2 linked regions of the Drosophila melanogaster genome follow. The protein of the gene in region 1 interacts with the protein of each later gene in a pairwise test. Each region holds a gene or a part of one and is shown on either strand. Other genes may lie near its edges.

The links.
Region 2: the proteins of CSN7 (region 1) and betaNACtes1 interact in a two-hybrid assay, tested with the Drosophila melanogaster proteins (one large-scale study listed by BioGRID).

What each region holds. Positions count from the first base shown.
Region 1 is NT_033778.4:8,415,221-8,425,900, reverse strand, and holds the start of CSN7 (COP9 signalosome subunit 7), read right to left. Parts: upstream 4,869-10,680; 5' UTR 4,791-4,868; coding exon 4,605-4,790; intron 4,545-4,604; coding exon 4,292-4,544; intron 1-4,291. Other genes in the region: CG43296 (uncharacterized protein), read left to right, coding at 8,195-8,277, 8,364-8,628. UniProt on the Drosophila melanogaster protein: Component of the COP9 signalosome complex (CSN), a complex involved in various cellular and developmental processes.
Region 2 is NC_004354.4:14,166,251-14,176,874, forward strand, and holds betaNACtes1 (Nascent-associated complex beta-subunit-like, testis 1), read right to left. Parts: upstream 6,375-10,624; 5' UTR 6,292-6,374; intron 6,238-6,291; 5' UTR 6,221-6,237; coding exon 5,435-6,220; 3' UTR 5,237-5,434; downstream 1-5,236. Other genes in the region: CG12480 (uncharacterized protein), read left to right, coding at 3,363-5,198; CG1368 (uncharacterized protein), read left to right, coding at 8,577-8,579, 8,721-9,278.

The sequences.
Region 1 (10,680 bases):
GCTGACATGTGTCTTGTATTTTCAGCCATGTGAAAACTGTGGGCGCCTGCTGTCGCGTGCGGAAAATTCAACGCCAGGGCAATCAATCATGCTTACTGCTCCGCCCGCAAATTGCGGAAAAAGCCGTTGAGGGACAGCAGAATGAATCTTCGAAGCGGCAGAAGGCGATGATGTCAAACCGCCGACGGCTGTGGTTCTATGGCAAATGCTGATGAAAATCCAATGGCTGTGGCTGTGGCTATGGCTATCTGGAAATGAATGGAAACGTTAAAAAAACGCAGTCCGTGGTACAAAACCTTCAGGAATTTGACCACCACGGCGAGTGCTCTTTTGGTGACTCGGGAAAAAAGCGTTTGAATTTGAAGTTGCCATGAAAAGAATGTTACATTTCTAGGATTCGCAGTTTGAAAAGACAATTTACTCCGTTTTTATACGCTTCCTTCGCCACGTAAAGGAGACAGATCCAATTCTAAAATAAATCCAAATTCTTCATCGATTAGGCTATAACCGGCTGTCCTAAGTTAGATTAGTTAGTTCTAAATACACCTTAAAGAAGACTCTCAAAGAAGCAGACATATAGGCTCACATACAGACTTTTAAGTTATAGGACCTGTATTCATACCATTTACGCATTAAAAAGTAAAAGGATCCATTAGGACCCCGAGTTCTGGGGACCTGTCGCTGACAGCTTAGGCAACTCTTCAAACAGTTCCCCACCTGCCCCAGAGAAATAGAATTTATTAATTGAAATTCGGAGCAAACCCGAACGACAGCAGCAGGCGAGGACAAACGGCACAAGATAAAATTTGTTAAAGGCGTTTCCAGAAAAAGGGTTTGTTTCTACGCTGTCTGCCTTCCAGCAGTTATAATTGCTTAATTATTAAATCCTTCTCATTAAAACAGGACTTTCTTTGTTTCAGACACTATAAGCCCCTAAAATGGACACTGTTCGCAAAACAGTGAAACGTGCAAGAACGCATTTAGATTCTGTTTTTTTTTTTTTTAATTGTTAAGGAAACTGCCGTACGCAATACAAATAAAATTAGGAATAAATAGTTGTTTAAGCTCCTTACTCACTGATATAGTGCAGCAGCTCTTTTGGGAACCCCGGGGCTGCAACCGCAAGCTAGCGGACTGGAAACTTGTGCCATCAATATAAAGCTGCTGCAAAGTTTTCACCTAAAACTGACAAAGTGCTCAGCGCAGCCACCCACAGACACTCGCCCTTCTCAAAGTTTTCCGGGCAACCCACTGCAATGGGCTCCCGGCGCCGAAATCTATGCAATCAGAAGCAGCTGCAAAATCGGCGGGTCCCGAGGAGACGGATACGTCCGGATTTAGAGCGGGGGCAGCAAATTATGTCCGAACTGCGTCTCTTTTGGGTACTCGGCTCTGCGGCAAGGTCGCGGCTTGTTCATTAAGGTAAACTGGCCTTTGATGTAACAGCTTTTCAGAGGATAAAAGCCGCTTTCCATGCAGTGTTCCCGTCATTGGAACACTGTTAATTAACCGATTGCGAAAGGGGCTTACACTTTTTGCGGCCTACTCAGAAAATGTTATGCACAAGTGGCCAGCGCTTTGGTACTTCGCCGTGCATCCCCCAAACAAATTCATCCCACTTCTCTCAGAATTGCAAATCCCCCGGCCCGGTGGAAAGCTACTTCAAAAGCCGCTCTTAAGCACCCTGAATTATGCGAAACTTTTCTTTGACACACAAAAGAAATTAAAGAAGTGCACCAAAAAACTAAAATCAAGAAGGCGCATTCTGCGACACATTCTGTAAATCCCAGCAACTCGACACGGCAACAGCGAGGGTGCAATCCTCGGTGAACTCGGTGGCATTCCGAACCACCACTCTCGCCTCGACATGAGTGCACAAACTGTTTTGCTTATATTCGTGCGATTCCCAGCATACAGCTACTGGTGCCGGGATGTTATTGCATAAAAAGTAGTTCGAAGCAGTTGGGAAAATATTTGAAAATGCCTGGGAGATTGAAAACCACAGAGGCTGTTCTGGTGGGGAATGCTCGACTTATCGATTTTAGGAGCAGATGCCAAAGACTCTCGCTTACAATACATTTTTGAGGGCGGTTATCCGCACTCTTACTCTTATTTTTACAACTTAATTAACATTCGTAGAACTGCTATGAAAGAAAGAGCAAAGAACTAAAATACAAGTTAAAGCACATGATGTTGTCTAAATATCCTCAGAGGTAACAAAACTTAACTTGAGGGAATACTTATTATTATTACTTATTATTATTATATCTGAAATAAATTTAGGTACTATTAATGTAAACCAAACACTGAGCAAAGCCGAAACAATCAAGAGCTGTCCCACTAATGGAACGAGCCGAAATGAATTTCTGGCGAATTTGAATTCTAGAAGGCATTTAATTACCATATCCCCAACCCAGCGTCCTGGTAGACAAATGATGCTCTAATGGGATGACCTGGAATCGCGACGAGAGAACCACTCAACCTGCCCGCCGGCTAATGGAGGCCCCGCTCCGTTGCCAACTACATTAAATTGCGATGTCAGATTACGGCGCCTAATAGAACGCAATGATTTCGCATTCCGCCAGACATCTGGCACTTGGCCTCCTGCCACCCGCAATGATGCTCTAATGATGGCTATCATAACATAAATCTTCGCTGGGGCGGGGGAATTTATTTGTCTGTTCATTGCCTGGATTTGGAAAGCAATTAGGAAGGGCAGGTGAGACGATGTTGCGAGGAGCAGATGGCGTTGAGTTGTCACTTTATTTGCTTACATAATGGACGTCCAAGAGTCCATTAAAAACTTCTGCACGCTATTTGCTTATCCAGCGCTAATGTTCTGGTACGTATGTTTAGATTGTTTCATACGTCGAGTGGGCACTTGTCGGGAGCCGCTGAAAACCGAACAGGACTAACCAAAAATCCGCCTGAAAGGCTCGTTTTCCAGCCCCATATAGCACAGCCTCTGTTTGTTTTCATTCCGGTCCATAGATCACAGGCCAAAGCTCAAAAATCAACAGCACCAACAAGTTTAGCACCACATTCGAGGGCCCTAAGTATGCTTACACGGACGATGTTTCCGAGTGCGATATTTGGGCCCCGGCTTCTGGGTGTTGCGTTTGATTTAAGGCTTTCAGCAGACATACAATGCAGACTGGGTCCTCGGTCCGGAACTACAAGTGCAAATTGTGTAAATATGCAGCTGTGCCGGCGCACAGTGATGGATTTCAAGTTTCTATGCAACAGTGGGCAAATTATGCACATCATCTACCAACAATCGTCTCCTATATGCGAGTCATAGCAACAGCTAATTGCCTGTTAGTTTCAAATGCACAATTTAGGCTACAAGTCTCTATTAGGATTCTAAGAATTGTATGCACTGATTGTAATCGTATCAAATTACTCCTATTTAGGTACATACAAAACTACTAATGGTCAGCATCTTGACAAAAGATTTTCCCACAGTTGGAAATATTTACGATTTGTGATTCCTCACCTTACGCTTGGAGCAAACTTTTTATGTGGCAATTACGTAGCGAAGTTTGATTGTAGGCGGCCACCACTGAGGCGTGAGCTCAAAAAGGAAATCATCGAGGCAAAAGTGTTCATCCAGCTGACGACGTCGGCAACAGTAAAAACTGTTTCCCCGCGGGGATGAGTTGGGCAGAATCAACTGGTGGGGCGCCATAACGAGTGGCTTAATGAATCTTGCCGAGCATAATCCTCGTTTCTTCGCCCAATTGTTTTCGTTTGCCAGGATGCGCCAGCTGTCCCGGCTAATCAAGTGCACTGCCCAAAGGCGGTGGCCGGGGTGTGGTGGTCTGGAATGGGAGGCGCTAGACGGCAGCACAACTTTATGAATCTACTGCTTTCACAGCTGCTGGGCCGCCGGCGCAGGTGTACAGCTGCTGAAAAATGCTAATTGAACGAGGAGGCGCCCTTTCCATGGTGAGAAGTAGTCAAAAATTAGCATTTGATTTAATAATGCAAGCTGAGGAGCGAGGCAGGGTCGAGATTTGTCAGCTTGGCACTGAATTGGCTGGACTTTCAGCTGAAAAATGAATACGTTTTTAACCCAAAAGGAAAAGGAGGAAAGCTTTTTTTGTTGAATGCCCTAGTAACCGTGAAATCGATTTCATGCGAAAAGGGACTTTTTTTTTTGACTTTTGAGAGGTGGAAACAACTGTTTTATATGAGTTTTGCGCAAATAAAAGTAATGCAACATTGTATAGACTACATCGGGGCTGTAAAGTTGAAACCTAGTTGAATCTATCCACCTAGGCGAACTCACCCGCGTAGATGGCCTCTATGATGATATCCTCCAAGTGGCGGACGTTGTCGATCTCCAGTTCGCTGAGCAGCAGGGCATAGGGAATGCTCTTTGCTTTAATGGCCAGCGAGACGATAGTCAGGTGCTGCAGCTTCTTCTGCATGGCAGGAGTCAGCTCGATGAACTTTTCCGGCTGTGCACGGTATTCCTTGTATGTGCCGTATGCGAATAGGTTCAGGGTCTCGAAGTGCTTGGAGTCCGGACCGTCTTTAAGCTATGTGTGGTTTTGTGGTTGGTAAGTTACTGCCAGAATGTGTTTCATTGATGGACGCACCTGCAAAACGGATGGCTCCGCCAGTAATTCGCCAAAAACAAAGACATTCGGGGCTTCCAGGGCCTGGCGAATCACATCCAGCAAAGCGGCGCCGGTGGATGACTTGGCCAGGACACAGAACTTCTCCAGGAACGTCTCCTTGCTCTTGCTCGGCTCCTCGTTGCCCAGCAGCATGTCCTGCGTCATTTTGATAACTTCAAGTTGGATAATTTGTTTTTAAATTTTGGGATTGTTTTGATTTTTGCAAGCACAGTGCCAGTGTGACCGTTCATCGATGGCCAAATTATATCGACCGAAGTTTATCGAAGTTTCAATTCATTCTATCTTATTAGTGTAATGAGTTCTAACTATTTCTTACTACGCACATGACAGGACATACTTACGATTTAATTATTGTATATCTAGCCATAAAAACAAATTACAGTTTTTATAAAAATATTATTTGTGTTGCCCTATAATAAAATTAGTTTAAATTACAGTGCAGAGTAAATATACTAAATTTGGTACGGTAAACAGAATTAAGGTCACACTATTATGTCTCTTGCACAAGCTGACTGCCATAAAAGTGGGCGCCAAGCTTAAACAATCTGAAGTTGGTCAGGCCCTGTGTGAAAAAGTAAATTAAAAACTTAAGATTTATGCAACCTTAGCCACAGATACTAACCCGTTCATTATGCTTATGATTATTTTATGTTCTTTGGGGATACCTCCTCGTTCGCTACATTGTTTTTTTCTAATAACAGCCTAGCATTTGCACTCACCTCTTGGAAATGTTGGTCATTATGTTAAAGCAGGGCATCCCCATTTTAAAACACTTTTCGCTCCACATTCCATCCGGCGGCACACACAGACGCACCCTAGGGGGCTGTATAAAAAAAGGAGAGAAGAGGGCGGAAACGGCAGGCTGGGCCTAAAAAAATATATTCCTTGAGCTACTTTGGACTGCCAAAACTTTGCGCCAGCCACACTTGCTATTATTGCTGTGGGTAGGGGCGGATATGCGAATACGAGTATAAAAAGGCTAGGGTCAAAGTTGAAAACCCTTTATTGTGTCTGGGGGGTTGACTTCGGCATGGAAGTGGGAGTGAGCGTGATTGGGACCGCCATTCCCTGTATGAGATGCGCCAGCTCATCGATTATGAAAAGTTAACTAAAGGTCAGGGACCCACGGGGATACACACACTCACACACAGGATCTCACAGGAAAAAGGTGAGCCCGAGCCTTAAAGATACTGCGTCTGTTTTAAAATTGCCCACAGCACAGTGTTCAATTTTACAGCATATTTTCCACTTGTATCGCTTTGTTTTCCATACCTCTTGTAATGCCGACACTTCGACAGAAATTGACCGGACTGTTTTGTAATTTTTCCAATTGGATTGGCACGCCTACCGACCACTCTACCCACTCTACCCACCATCCTTCCAAATTTTATGGGATTTTGCCAAATTTGCCAGTACGCAGCCATTACAAAATTGGTTGTGATTTTGATTCTGTTGCGTGCGTTCGGCTGCAGATTCGCTTTTGGCTTCCATCCGGAGCGGCGGATGTGGTTCTTCTCCTGCGGCGACTGCTATCCGAATTGCATCCGGGATTAGTTTGCGTTTGAAACATTTTTGGAATAATGCGAAATCCCGCTGCCTTTACTTCGTTCGCAATTTTGCGGGTTGCGTGCGCAAAGTTGCGCCCATCGAGGATATTCGCTCGCCAACCGACGAAAGCCTGTGGCCATTCTTGCGATGGACCACTAGTGGTCAGCAGGTGGGGATTGGAAATTACTTAGAAGATTGGGCAGAGCGAAAAAAACGTTTTTGGTTTGCAACAGAAGAACACTAAGCTGAAATTAAATGGTAACGTTCAGGTTTCCCATGTTTCGGTATTAATCTATGAACAAATGGAAGTAACGAATACCAACTGAGAAATGGAACATATTATAAAAAAGATATAACATTTTAGGTTTTAAGTTAGTCCAGATGTTTTTGGTGGCATGACCATATACATATATGGTCTCTGGCTGGAATTTCCGCATAGGGTAAGCTATAGTAGACTTTCCGCCTTGCCGCTGATTCTCGCAGTTTTGAAAAGCTCTTTGTCACGGCGGCAAACTTTACCCGCTCTGCTCCGTGTTCTGGTTTTTTGTGGATTTCACTTTGTCATTAATTTGACGCACAATGAGTCGGCAGTTGGCAGGTTGTTCGGGTGTTCAGTTTCCCGGGATTTCAATCCTATTTCCGAGATTACCGAACGAGGGCGTTCAATTTCATTTGCGGGCAAAGCAAGGACGTCATTTGCCCAATTCATGTACTCCATCGTCGGTTCAGCTGGGACCGAGCTTTAAAATTAATTACACTTTTTGCCTTCTGAATCCATCATCGGCTTGCACATTAAAATCATTGGCGGGGATCACCCGCCCTGCCACGCCCATCGCCGCCCATGCCCCGCCCGACAATTTGCTTACTAGCCCATAAAAATGTATGAAAATAAAATATCAACACAGTTCGAGGGCCCCAAAATGGCCAAATAAAAGGAATCAGCCCCGCGAACGCGCGCCGCATGCAAATGTGGGTGGGGCCCCGCCGCCTCAGTATCCTTCAGACTGTCCTACGGCCGTATAACAGTGTACTAAAACGTGTCCTTGCCCCTGCCGCGGCAATTTGACCAGCAGCTGCGGCAGCGCTTTCGCTTTCGCCTTTGGCTTATCATTTTTTATCGGCAGGACAAAGACTTGACCTTCCTTTTTAGTGAGTTGGCTGCTCTGCTCATTAGGACTCAAATTGCTTTCCCCGCCTGCAACTGTGTGCGATTGAGCACTACCCAAAAAAATGTATCGATGGATAAACAGGAAATTGAGATCACAATATATTGTTCCTTTTTGAATGGTTGTATAAGTATTTTGCAGTTTGATCTTAACTTAGAGCCAAATTCTTAATGACTAAGCTATAAGGGGAAAGATTTAAAGGACTCATTTAGGCTTAGATAACATACTTCTTTTCTGCGAGTGTTGTACGCGATTATTTGGCTTACTGAACGTATTGTTATTGCTGCTGGGGCAGTAGCTCCGCTTATCGATGCAAATGACAGGCGGCCGGGAAACTTGAGCAACTTGGCCCATTTAGGCGAAACGATGTTAACTTGACCCAAATCACGGACTTTTCGCGCGACTCGAGCCCAGGGAGACACTGCTGGCACGGACTTAGGGAAAATGGCGTACAGAAATACAGCGTAATAAACAAGAGCCTTTGAATAACTTCATTCAGCGAATGCAGCCAAAGGTTGCACAAAGACTGCTGATAAAAATTCCCCCGCTCTGCGACAATTTACCAAGGATCCTTTTAGAGCCAAACTTTGTAGCGAAATTGCTATGGCAATGTGGGATGGAGCGGCGAAAAAATGCAATTTGTATCGGATTCTCGGACTTGGAGAGCAAAACGCAAATGGACACACGGAACACAGCCAGCTGGTTAATTTAAATTACAAATTGTTCGGATTCTCTTCCCGTGAAATTCCCGAGTGCCGACCGGACAAATCGAGCAGGGCCCACAATTAGCTGGAAACAAACTGTCAGTTGTTCGGTTGTATTGCAGCGATAACAATGTCACATCAAATTTCATCACAGCCCCCACTTTCGGCCACATATCCAGCCAAACGAGAACAGGATGTGGATATGGAAAACTGGTAAGCCACAGCGACCTTCCTTGGCGCAATCCCAATCTAGTCGAGCATGGCGTATTATTATAACGCTCTTTGTTTATATGCACCAGCGACGGGGAAAATCGGGGAAAAACTACTTGCTGTGCTGGCGATGAAAACACGGATACAAACCGATGTCGACTGGTGCCAGGCACAAGGATAACCCATGGGTGGTGGGTATGTGCACGAATCGATGAACAGCCGGGTCCTGGCCCAACTTGTTGCCAATACAATCAATTCAGCATGTCGCATATTATTCGAGCTGTCTCACGGACCGAAGGAAGTAAGCCAAATTTGCAACCGCAGGCAGGGATTTTTCGATTGGGTGTGATTTGATATGTTGCTACTTTGGCTTAGCATCAGTACATATCCTGGTAATGTCTTGTGACACCTAGTTTTAAGGTAAATATATATATACATATATATTTAATCAGGCTCCAAGAGGGACCGATTGAAATAAAAAATATCATTAGTCATACAATAGAATATGATTACAGATTGAGTTGTAAAGGCTTTAAGTTTAATACTTTCATAAAATTCTCGTTTTATTAGTTTTTATTTATTTATTTATTATGATAGATAGAATAGTTTGAAAACTAGACTAACTATATTTATTTACAATGTTATTATATCTTAATTTAGTTTATATCTAATTTGCTAACTAATTGCTGGCTTGTTATGTACAATTGCCTGTTTTGTTTTTAGATTTTGTGGTATAATTTGGTTTTTTTGAGGAAAAGTATGAGTTTTTGTATGTTATCTGGATTGGGTTTGCTAAGAAGGTCTAGAGGGTTGGTGTTGTTAAATATGTCTTGTTTGGTTTGTAGGAGGGATAGGCATGAATTTAATATGTGGCTTATTGAAATATCAACTTGACAAAACGGACAAGTTGGTATTGTATTGGGATTTAGGTAGTGTTGGTGGGTTATGTTTGTGTGTCCTAGCCTAAGTCGTATTATTTTTATTTGGTCGAGTCTGGTCCAATTTGGGTGAGATTGTTTGAGGTAATCGCATGTGTGTGAGGTATTCGTATTAATAGATTGGTACCATGGACTGCAGTTTATTATGTTTTCTTTATTTTTAGTCGCAAGGTCGGCTTTAAGCTGTTTTTTTTTTTTTATATTTATTAGTTATTTAAGCTATTTTGTTTGCAAGTGATATAACATTAAGTAAACATGCAGTGCGTAGTTTAAGCGACTTACCTTGCAAAGGTAAAGAAATGAGATTAGTTGCCTAATTTTCCGTCTAGTTTGTTACCCTTTTTTTAGGCGCCTGTCATTTGCTCTCTATCAGCTAAGCTGCAAAGCGGCTTCGTCTGGCCATATGTACCCCAATTTATCTGATGTTCTGCCGATACCCGAACTTCGTTGTGCTATCCATCGCATTTTGAAGTGCAACCGGTAAGCACTTTTCACCAGATAGTAATCCCGGCCTTTTGGAATGCTGAATTGCCGGAAAGCCGCTTTTGTCGTGTAATCGAGAACTTAAACATTAGAAAGTGGCTGGGGCAATAAGCCCTCTGCCGGGCCATCAATTTCAATCTGCATGCGTCTATTTTGGGGCGCATGTAAGCACCTGACAATGTTGAGGATTGGGTGAGGGATGCGGGATGCGGGATGCCGGGTGCCGTGTGCCGGGTTTTTAGGTTTTTAGCCACCCTGGGATAATGAAATTGATGAATGTTTTCTGCCGTTGCCCGAACAACAAACAAGCGGCCCATCAGAGAGCAGGAAGCCAGGACGTGTGTGGAGCATTATCCCCTCAGAGGAGCGAACAAAAAACCAATCAAAACAAACGATAATGCTGGCTGACCCTCCTCCACCTCCTCTCTTCAGTGTTTGATGATGAGCCGGATACGGATAATAGGGATGCCTATGCTATTAGGAGGAGGACGGCCGGATTCGATGATGTGTTGATTGCCCCCAGATGACCAGATGAGCCCAGTCGATTGGTCGGCCGGCAGTAAAATGCGCTGCATGTGCGTATATAGAAATCAAATTAAATCACATTTAAATGGGTCAGTAAAGTGGTGCCTTTTGAAGTCCGCCTGATTATGGAGTGTCGCATATTTTGGCCCCCGATCGATTTCCATTCCGGGCAGGATTGACCATTTCGCCCTCTAATTATCGTTAATTAGCCGAATTCGCGTGCAAGTTTTAAGCTGCCGGACAATTTCAGTGCCAGCGACTGCTGTTCGCGAGCCTTTGTCAGCTTAAGCCCCTGGATTCCTTTATTCGGGACTGTGTGCCATTCATCGCAGCTCATTAGTTGCCCTCGGCAGCAAATTAAACTGGCCAACAACAGTGGCCGAAAGTCGATTTTCCATTCATCTTCGTTTCATTATGTTGCTGGCACACAGCAGATAACCCAGCGCACCGAGAGAGCGCC
Region 2 (10,624 bases), on another chromosome or scaffold:
AAGTCAATGTGTTTTGCATTCATACCGATCTAGCATCGAGTTTTAAACACATTTATATTTACAATGCCTTGGAAAGCACTAGAGATTCATTAACAATCGATCAGCTCGATCAATGTTTTTGTGCTAAATAAATCAAAATAAATTGAAATGTACAAGAGCCACTAGCTTTTCACACATAAGTGCTGAAGTGCTGACGGATCCATCGTCAAAATAGGCTAATTACAAGTAATTAACATCAAAAACCGAATTTCGGCACTGCTTATAAGATTGATAGTCTCTGCCACTCATAAATGGTCAGATCGATGATTCAGACATGGAGGCACACACCCACATCTCAAGTTTTCCAGTTGGGGAATTGGCCAAAGGCAGCGTGTAAACAACGTTTTGTGGGCTTTTGCAAAATTGTTTAACTGAAATGCAATTCGGCAAACGTTATTTAAGAGCTCACCGTGCCTGTCTTATTCAAGCATCGTTTTTCTCATAACGATCGTCGCTGATTCGAACTCCAGACGTGGCCGAAATACATGGTAAACCATGTGTGCCCAACATTCATGTGTGCCTTCAAAAAGGGGACGATGGTGGGCCGTGGGGCTCCAAAAAGGGGTCCAGCCTCCAGTTCGCAAGTTGCGATTGCATTTGCTGTTGGGCCAAACAATTTGTCGCGTCTTTTCGCTGGTTCCGCAATTGTTTTATGGCCACTGGCGAGGGCCGAGACCCCGGCCAAATATTTGCCATCATCCTCAAGCAAGTGAACTGCACAAATATTTAAAGAGCCAACCACACCGGCTACCAGAAGATACTCAACTATATCAATGGCGAAACCGAAAGTGTCTGGTATAGGAACCTCGAACTGTGAGAAAAGCAATGATTGAAAGAAAACCAAAAGTATAGATTACATTTTTATAGATATTTTTCTTTTGCATTAAATTGCAATTTTTTAAAATACTTAATATGATAGTTTGTTTATTTGCAAAATTAATTTTAATTTCTCTTAACATCAGATCTGTGTAACTCCAGATTAATAATTTCGATAATAATATATATATATATATTTTTTTTTTATCTGTTTTTTATCACAAGTCCAAGAGGAAGCAAAAATACTTGAGGGCTGAGCTCCCATCTGGAATACACACCTCTATTAAGTCACCAACGAGTTTTGCCTCACAAATGCATAATCAATATCAATAAATGAATAAACACTGCTTCAAACTTGATCTATTGTTTGGCAACAAAAGAGAAAGAACGAAAACAAATATTTATTGACTTAAAAACATACATTTTAGATCTAACCACACACGTATGTATAAATCTTGAGTCGCTCAACCTGATTTTCGTTTTCGGTCTGGCTTTGACATTTGTTTTACATAAAGGCCATACATGTATTTAAAGCTTATATTTCATCGTGTTCTTGCTTTTTAATTACAGCACTCAAAGCATAAATTTTCGCAATTAAGACAAAGAATGGGCTAACAAAAATAAAACTGGAGTCCAGAGACATGGCAAGACATTAAGTTTGAACATTTTCAGGCCTAAAGTTGATGATCGAAACGAGTTTGGATGCTTCGAAGCGAATCGCCGAAGAATCTCAGTCATTCGGAGTGGTTCATACTAGACACGACTCGAATCGAGTTAGCCAAAAACATTGGCCAGGTCTACAAATTAGCATAGTCTTAAAATATAATTCCTGGTTTTTTCTTAGTCAATTTTCGGGACGACAAAGTGCTGTAAAAATAGGTCCGATCAAATCTAAAATGTACATAATTAACACAATGAATCTGTAGGAATAACAAAAGAAATGGTAGGAAAGTTACAATATGTTAATACATATTCAAATAGGAACTATAACTAAAGAGCTTTATTAGCAATTATATATTTTTATATTAGGCATAACATACATATAGCATACATAAATTAACAAAAGTAATATTTTATTAGACAGTTTTAATATTAGCATGCAAATGGCCATTTTTTGAATAAATTAATTTAATTTTATTTCTAGCCCCCCAATAGATTGCCATCATCAACCAAATGTATGTGCAAATATTAAAAAAAAAATACATTATAATTTATTTCCTATAAATTTAAAGTAAACCGATTTAAATAAAAAATAAATTTTTATAATGATTATTTGAATATCGCCACAATCATTAGTAATTCAGACATTTTCTATACAATTAAGTTATAAGCTCCATTGACGGACCATCTATTTTCATCTTTTTGACAAAATCAATCATTAAACAAATATCCGATTTGGTATAAACGAGTTTCGAATTTTTCCCTCCCAGTTCAATGTTCGTTAATTATGCTAGATTTTTGTGTGCCAGAACTTTTGAATCCGGTAGTCATATAATACCTCGTTTTTGTCTTCTTATTATATTGCTCCACTTTTGGCTTCAAAGTATTTTGGAGATTTTGCACACTTTCAACCGTTATTATGAAAGTCAGTAAGTTAATAAGATAAGCTAATTTTGCGGAATGAGATCCATAAAATCAGCTGAACCGTGTTTAAGCGAATAAATTTACCCATAAAATGTTTGCCGAAACTTTATATAAAGGTTATCTTTATAATTCATTCAGCCAAAATGTTTGCGTAACTAATTCAAAACTGGATATTTCTTGTTGGCACACTGAATTACTTATAATTAAATTAAATTAAGAGTATACCTTATTTGCTTTACTTTTACGGGGTATACAGCATGTTCGCTCTTGTGTCATACGAATTAACCAAAATAGTTATGTTTAGGCATCCATCGATTGATTTCCCCAAGCCCAATTAGCAGACTTATTGGCATATCTAAGACTGTTGGCCAAAGTTGGAGAACTGGTTGCCGGACCAAGCCGATTATGACACCCAGCTGAACTTGCCAGGCGCTAAAAAGCGCTTTAGCATACTATCTGTAGGATGTACAACTGTAGTACACAGACAAAAATGAATGAAGGATATATTATTATTTAACATTAAATTGTCAAACTAAATGTTTAAAACCAATGCAACGATCAGTTCAGTTCATTCTAAGAAGCACAATGTCGGTTGATCTTTTGATTCCAAATCCCAATAATTTGAAATTACCATGTATGTGAGCAGTTTTCTTACAGTGTATAAACCAGACGACAATTTAATTGACGGAAAGGCCAAGGCGCTTGGATGCCAAGAGGTTCTAATCAAGTTGATAAGATCGCCGCTTTTGTTATGCTACCTATGCAAATTTGCAACCCAAATTAATAATAGGTAAAAACTAGCAGTTGGGCAGACCAAATCAAGCGATGATCAAAACAGAACTCCAATTAGCATAGGCCCATAATCTTTTGTGGGTATAAAAACTGGAAACGTCCCTCTTTTGAACAACAGATTTGGCCCAAACATGGTAAGTTTCGGTTCTAGGGGGAACCACCGCGGTCAACACAGCCACCACCCTGATCTATCTCAAGCTCACCCTTTTGTCCACACCCACTTAATCCGATTGCAGAAGTTCTACGTCATTGCCTTGGCCTTTGTCGGCCTTGCCGCCGCCGATGTCAGTCATCTTAAGTTGGGACTGGCCGCCGATGGAGGCTATGGACTCACCGCCTTGTCATCTGCTCCCTCCTCCTCCTCCTCCTCTTCTTCGGAAGTGGTACAAGGTGGTGATTCCAGCTCCTACCAGTACTCAAAGTCCGCAGAAGTCGTGCCCGGAGGCGATGCTAGTTCCTACCAGCCTGCTGAATATACTCCAGCTCATCTCAAGTCAGCCGATGTAGTTCCTGGAGGTGATTCCAGCTCCTACCAACCTGCTGAATACACCCCCGAGCACTTGAGGACAGTCGATGTAGCTCCTGGTGTCGATTCCAGCTCTTATCAGCCCGCTGAATACACTCCCGAGCACTTGAAGGCCGCTGAGGTGGTTCCTGGTGGCGATTCCAGCTCTTACCAGCCCGCTGAATATACTCCCGAGCACTTGAAGGCCGCGGAGGTGGTTCCTGGTGGTGATTCCAGCTCCTACCAACCCGCTGAATACACTCCAGCTCATCTTAAGGCTGCTGTTCCGGCGGCTATTGGTGCTGATACCTATGCCCCAGTTCCGGCTGCTATTGGTGCTGATACCTACACCCCTGAGAAGTTCATTCCCCAGGACGTTCAAGAGGCCCACTACAAGTACAATCAGGAGCAGGAGCAGGGAGCTGCTGTTCCCGGAGGAGATTCCAGCTCTTACCAGCCCGCTGAATACACTCCTGCTTATCTTAAGCAGACCTCTTCTGCCACTGTCGATGCCAAAGTGGTTCCTGGTGGCGATTCCAGCTCCTACCAACCCGCTGAATACACTCCAGCTCATCTTAAGGCTGCTGTTCCGGCGGCTATTGGTGCTGATACCTATGCCCCAGTTCCGGCTGCTATTGGTGCTGATACCTACACCCCTGAGAAGTTCATTCCCCAGGACGTTCAAGAGGCCCACTACAAGTACAATCAGGAGCAGGAGCAGGGAGCTGCTGTTCCCGGAGGAGATTCCAGCTCTTATCAGCCCGCTGAATACACTCCCGAGCACTTGAAGGCCGCTGAGGTGGTTCCTGGTGGTGATTCCAGCTCCTACCAACCCGCTGAATACACTCCAGCTCATCTTAAGGCTTCTGTTCCGGCGGCTATTGGTGCTGATACCTATGCCCCAGTTCCGGCTGCTATTGGTGCTGATACCTACACCCCTGAAAAGTTCATTCCCCAGGACGTTCAAGAGGCCCACTACAAGTACATTCAGGAGCAAGAGCAAGAGCAGGGAGCGGCTGTTCCCGGAGGAGATTCGAGCTCTTACCAGCCCGCTGAATACACTCCAGCTCAACTCAAAAAGTCGGTTGTAGCCTCAACCGCTGCCTCTGCTATTTCTGGGGCAGATTCCAGTTCCTATCAATCCGCCGTTTCCCAGACGAGCTACGTTAATAGCCAGGCCAAGACAATCGTGGCCGGATCGTCTAGCAGTTCCTACCAGAGCGCCCAACCCATCGCCGCCTATGTCCAGGGACAAACCCCAGTCGTCATTGGAGCGAACACGATCACACCTGCCCATCTGTACGAGGAACCCACATCGAATGGCATCGAGGAGTTCAATCCCGATACCCATGTGCCCGTGGCCATTGGTGCCGACACCATTACTCCTGCCCATTTGCAGGCCAGCTACTCCAAATCCGTCCAGGAGACCCAGTACGCGTCGAACGGCGGCTATATTTACTAAGACAAATAACTGAGAGCCACAGAGTCTAATATAATCTTAAATTTATAACTTTTTTTTATTTTGGAACTATAGATCATTAAAATTTCCATAAGTGTAGAGAAAACCAATGCTTTCAATAAACACCAAGAGATTAAAGTACAAATCTATAGAATATGGAACCTTTTTCTGTCTCAACTTTCTCAATTCATACGATTTATTTTTGAAATTGGTACAAATGTAGCAACAAATGAATATGCCTAATCTTCGTCCTCTGAGACCTGAACGCGATAAGTATTTGGATAGAGCTGCTCCGTCAAATAATAGTAATTGGAGTAGGAGGACAGGTAGATCGACTCCGTAGTGTCAACGTCCTCCTTGCCGTCGGAATCATCGCCGAAGCTTCCCAGCGAATCTTTGTCGCAGACTATGGTCCGATCCACATCAGACTCATCCGATGGCACCTTCTCATTATCCGGATCGCTGCCATCTTCAGAGGAGATCAAAATTGGTTTACCATTGCTAAGCTTCGGCTCCGAATCCCAGCCAGCCATGGCTGCGTCCTCTTTGTTTTTGGAGAGCATCATTTGGACCTTCTTGTTGCGAGGACGAACACGATTGCGCGGCTTCTTGGGCTTCTTGGCCACCTTAATGGACTCCTCTGATTCTGGCTTTTTGTCGGAAAAAGCTTCCGGCTTGGGTGGCTTAGGTGGCATGGGTGCCTTGGGCGCATTGGCTGCCTTGGCCACTTTCGATGGGCCAGCTGTTGACGACTTGCGCACGAAATCGCCACTAACCACGAAGAAAGAATTGCCAGCGGTGCTCTGAACCCTGGGCATGGTTAACACAACCTTACTGGAATTGGTGAACTCGATGGTCACCTCCTCGATTTCGTCGATATTCTTCAACGGCAACATGGCCAATGTGGCTTGCACGCGCTTCTCGGCCGCAGCCGAGGATGGGAATCTCTTATGCTTGCGGCGCATAGATCCTTTGCCGCCGATGCGCACCACCTCCTCCATTTTCTTCAGCTTCTTGAAATCCATTGTTTCGTTAGGAAAACCTATTAACTTGTATGGGTAAAGTGCGTGGAAAAGAATTCTCTTGAAATGCTCACCTTGAAAATGCTGTGCTTTACAAATTAATATATTAATTAATATAATATTAAGTAATATTCGCTTGGAGATGTGAATCAACTGAGGTCCTCACGCCAAATCAGAAATGTGACTTTTAGACTGCAAAGTCATCGTCTTTTTTTTTTGAGTTTTTGACACGTGCTAAAAGGGTTGCCAGAGCTTTGTCATGTCCTTGCAGATGGGAACTCTAGACTCGAATATATAAATATCTAGAGTAGATATTGTCGACATCGATTCTTAGGTGCAGATGACCGCACGTCGTGCCTCAAGTAATCAATTTTGCATTAAACATAAACATATAAATATTAACTTTTAACTATGCATGTTTTTTTATCATTTTTATGAAATATAGTTTTTATTGTGTATATTTTCTTTTTTCGGAAAATGTATGTTTTAAGTTAAAAAATTAATACTAACAATTCCAGATCGAAACTTTATTTTATTTATAAGTTGAAATATGAATGTACTTAATATATAAATATTAATTACTATTTTCCAACATTAATTACCTCTTGTTGAAAAGGATAACTGTTTGCAGTTCTCAGAATGGCCATGGTTAAGTTAAGTTATCACCAATGAACTCTGAAATTTCCATCACATTTTGCTTGGCATCGTCATGCTTGACATTTCCTGCCTTTTTTACACTTGAAGATAATTCATCAACGTGATCATAAATGAAATCGATATAAAAATGGATTTTAATTATTGACACAGGCGAATCACAGGCGAATCATATGTGAACGGGCTATAAATCGTCAATAGGTTACCCACCTTGCGAATATGATACATAGATAATCTTAAAAAATTACTCTTTATGTTTCTATGCTACAATGTTGCAAGAGAATCAATACGTTTGATGGATTTGAATATTAATTCAAAAATTGCAAAGGTCTTGCTAAAAATTTATTGAATTGTAAATTTCTGGCTGTGCTGCATTTCAAGTTCACGGACAGTGGAAAGACGCTCGAGATGTGGCAGCAAGTAAAAGTTGTTACTTATTATGTAAAGACCGCTGGGGAACTCGTAACTCTGGCGGCCGGCGTCTGTTCTCAAGGCCATCTTCTGTCGGTCTCCACTGATGGGTTTTGTGTGTTTATGGGTTTTTAGAAAGTGCGAGTGGGGCTCCGTTTTTCGAAACACGACGTTCTGTGGGGGCCATCAATCTGGGCGAGTGTCTCGAACGAGGCCAAATGGATCTCTTTTTGTGCGCCGGCCCATTTCTGCGGTTGAAACAAGAAAAATGGTTGCTCCGGTGTATAATGTGTTAAATTGAATGTTAATTAGTGGAACCCCCTTAGTTTTTTTCCCCCTTTTTTTTGGGCTTTGTGCGGCACAAACCCCCCCCCCCCCCCTCCCTCCCTCCATTCCCCTTGAGTCCGACGCTAATAAGCCAGATTGAAGAGACCACAAAAAGGTGTCCCAAAGTAGTTCACCCGCCGCAAACCCGTTGCGTGGATGGAAAAAAATATAATATCGTAAATGAGCCAAACCCGTTTGCATGTGCGATTTCGTTCGATTTTTATGTTGAATTTAATTTTAATGTGATTTTCCGTTTGGTAGTTTAGCCAGCCCCCTCCCTATATATGCTTTTTAACCTCCGCCCTGATTAGTGTTGCCATTTTAGCCATTTTATTGCCAAAACCATCTAACTAAGTAAGCTCTGCCAATGATCTATGCTAGTTAACGTTTCAAGTTACCATTTTTTTTTCAAAACTCAGTTTTTAAGAAGTAAGTAAATATTTAACAAGTCGGCAGTTTTAAGTTGTAAATAGGTGATTAGCTCAAATGTTAGTATCTAAATCTTTTATATTATTACTTATTTTGCATTGTGCTACCACTACTACTTAATTGAACATTGCAAACGGTCTGGTGTACATAAACAATTATAAGTGAAGCATATTCTTAATTGAAAATACTTAAACTTTTTAACAGTTTTCACAATTAGCTGCCAACTTATGTGGCTATGTCCCCTCAGCCCCTCAGCACCAGTCAGCCGTTTGTTTGTCTTGATTTCATGGTGACGTCTTTTGCGGCGGCTTCTTCTTGGTCCGCTGGCCGCTTAAGCCTGCTCTTCTTCTTGCCCGGCGTCTGCCGTTAGTGCCGGTGTGCCACCGCTGCAGTTGGAACGGGCTCTCCAAAACCGGGGCTTTTCTTCGAAGACGGCCGGCAGCTATAAATTGACTGGCGGCTGGTAGGGACCGGCATCAGTCGCAGCCTCTAGCTCATCCAGCACAGTCGCTTGAAAACGCAGAAACCTCAACTCAAGATGGTCAGTGAAGGATTACAAGTTCAGCTTGAAACAAGGATACATCGATTTAACAATATTATTTGACAAAATTTTTTTTTTTTTTGCGGTGCTTAAAAAATTTGCTGTGTTTGTAATGTGTGAAGTGTGTTGTCCTACTTGCAGAAATTCCTTATTGCCTTCGCCCTGTTCGCCTGCGTGGCCGCCGATGTTAGCCACCTGAGCAACGAGTACCTGCCCCCCGTCCAGAGCTCGTACGCCGCTCCCTCGGTGAGCTACTCCGCACCAGCCGTGCAGCAGACCTACGCCGCTCCAGCCATCCAGCAGTCGTATGTCGCCCCCAGCAACGAGTACCTGCCTCCTGTGCAGACCTACTCCGCACCGGCCGTCCAGAGGACCTACTCCGCACCAGCTGTCCAGAGGACCTACTCCGCCCCCTCTGTTAGCTACTCGGCACCCTCTGTGAGCTACTCGGCTCCATCGGTCAGCTACTCCGCTCCTGCTGTCCAGCAGTCGTACTCCGCTCCATCGGTCAGCTACTCCGCCCCTGCTGTCCAGCAGTCGTACTCCGCTCCATCGGTCAGCTACTCCGCCCCTGCTGTCCAGCAGTCGTACTCCGCTCCTGCCGTCAGCTACTCCGCCCCATCGGTGAGCTACTCTGCACCCTCCGTGGATGTGGGCACCCAGTACGCCTCCAACGGTGGCTACGTCTACAGGAAGTAGGGATCTTCAACGAAGAGGCCTGCAACTGAACACGAAACAGTGTCCATAACTACATACTGCCCAAATTAACCATATATTTTTTTTTTTTGTTTTGTAAACTTTTGTTTACAACGAAATAAACCGAAACATCAATAATCCAAATAAATACTTTTGTTTTTAAAATGGGTTTCAGAGTTATAAAAACAAGCGTCTAATATTAATATTAATAAAATTTTTAACAAGTGTATCCCTATTCACTTTATATCAAAATTCCGGACCAGGATACCAAAATAGCGTACTAAAAACCACGCGCGACTTGAGTGCGGTTTGGTTGCGGTTTAGGTGCGGTTTTGTTGCGGTTTTGATGCGGTTTGAGTGCGGTTCGTTTTCAAAATCGAACGTCAAAAGCAAGTGCTTGTTGGTGCTTAATACTTCAGAGTAGACAAAAGGTGGCACTTTATAAGCCAATAAAAATATAATAAAGTATACGAATGATATGTCCATACAAAGTAAAGAAGATTTATTGGCATTAGTCTATAATGGTAATTTTCAAAATTAAAAAGCTTAATTCTTCGACTAGTTAACACTAAAACCTGTAGGACAAGAACATAAACATTTAACATACATCAATGTTTTAACTAAGTATTAGCGTTAAAAAATATAATATAAAGCTTTAATTAAGTTGGGCTTTTTATAAACAGCTTGCAGCTTTGATTAAACTTGGAAGCTGCGACTATTTTAAGCATTTTCAAAGAGCTTTTAGTTTAAATATAGCATGAAACTTTATGGTTTTCCTAGTTTTAACACTAAGCTTTTGAGTATTTCAAAACTATGACTTGCAGATACATTTTCTGAGAGTGCTTGGCATTTCTGAAAAATTATTTACTCAAGACTTTTTGAAATCATTCAAAACCATTATTTAGTATATTACAGTAAATAAAACGAACCTCCTCGACGTTTTTCCTGTTTTTAATTAACACCCTTTTGCTTTCAGGTAGTAATTTTTAAAATTTAATATTCATCATAAAGCTGAGCAAGAACTTGAATCTAAATCAAATAAAATGTTACCCTTTCATTGTTCTTTCTTTTCGTTTATTGAATCTTTTTCATTATCGCCTCTTTTCTTTGTGCGATGCTGAATTTAACATTCGATTTCGGCGTTAGTTTATTTATGTAAAATCCGGCCGCTAAATTAAATTTTATAGTTCAGTTTTGGCACCTCCCCTCGCACCTTCGATCACCTTTGGATTGGCGATTATTTATGGAACCTTTGTGATGATGCAAAGCAATTTCCGTTCGCCGAATGCGAAAGTGAAATGAGCCGGCCGCGAATTTATGTAATATGTTGATATGCCGTCTTATATATG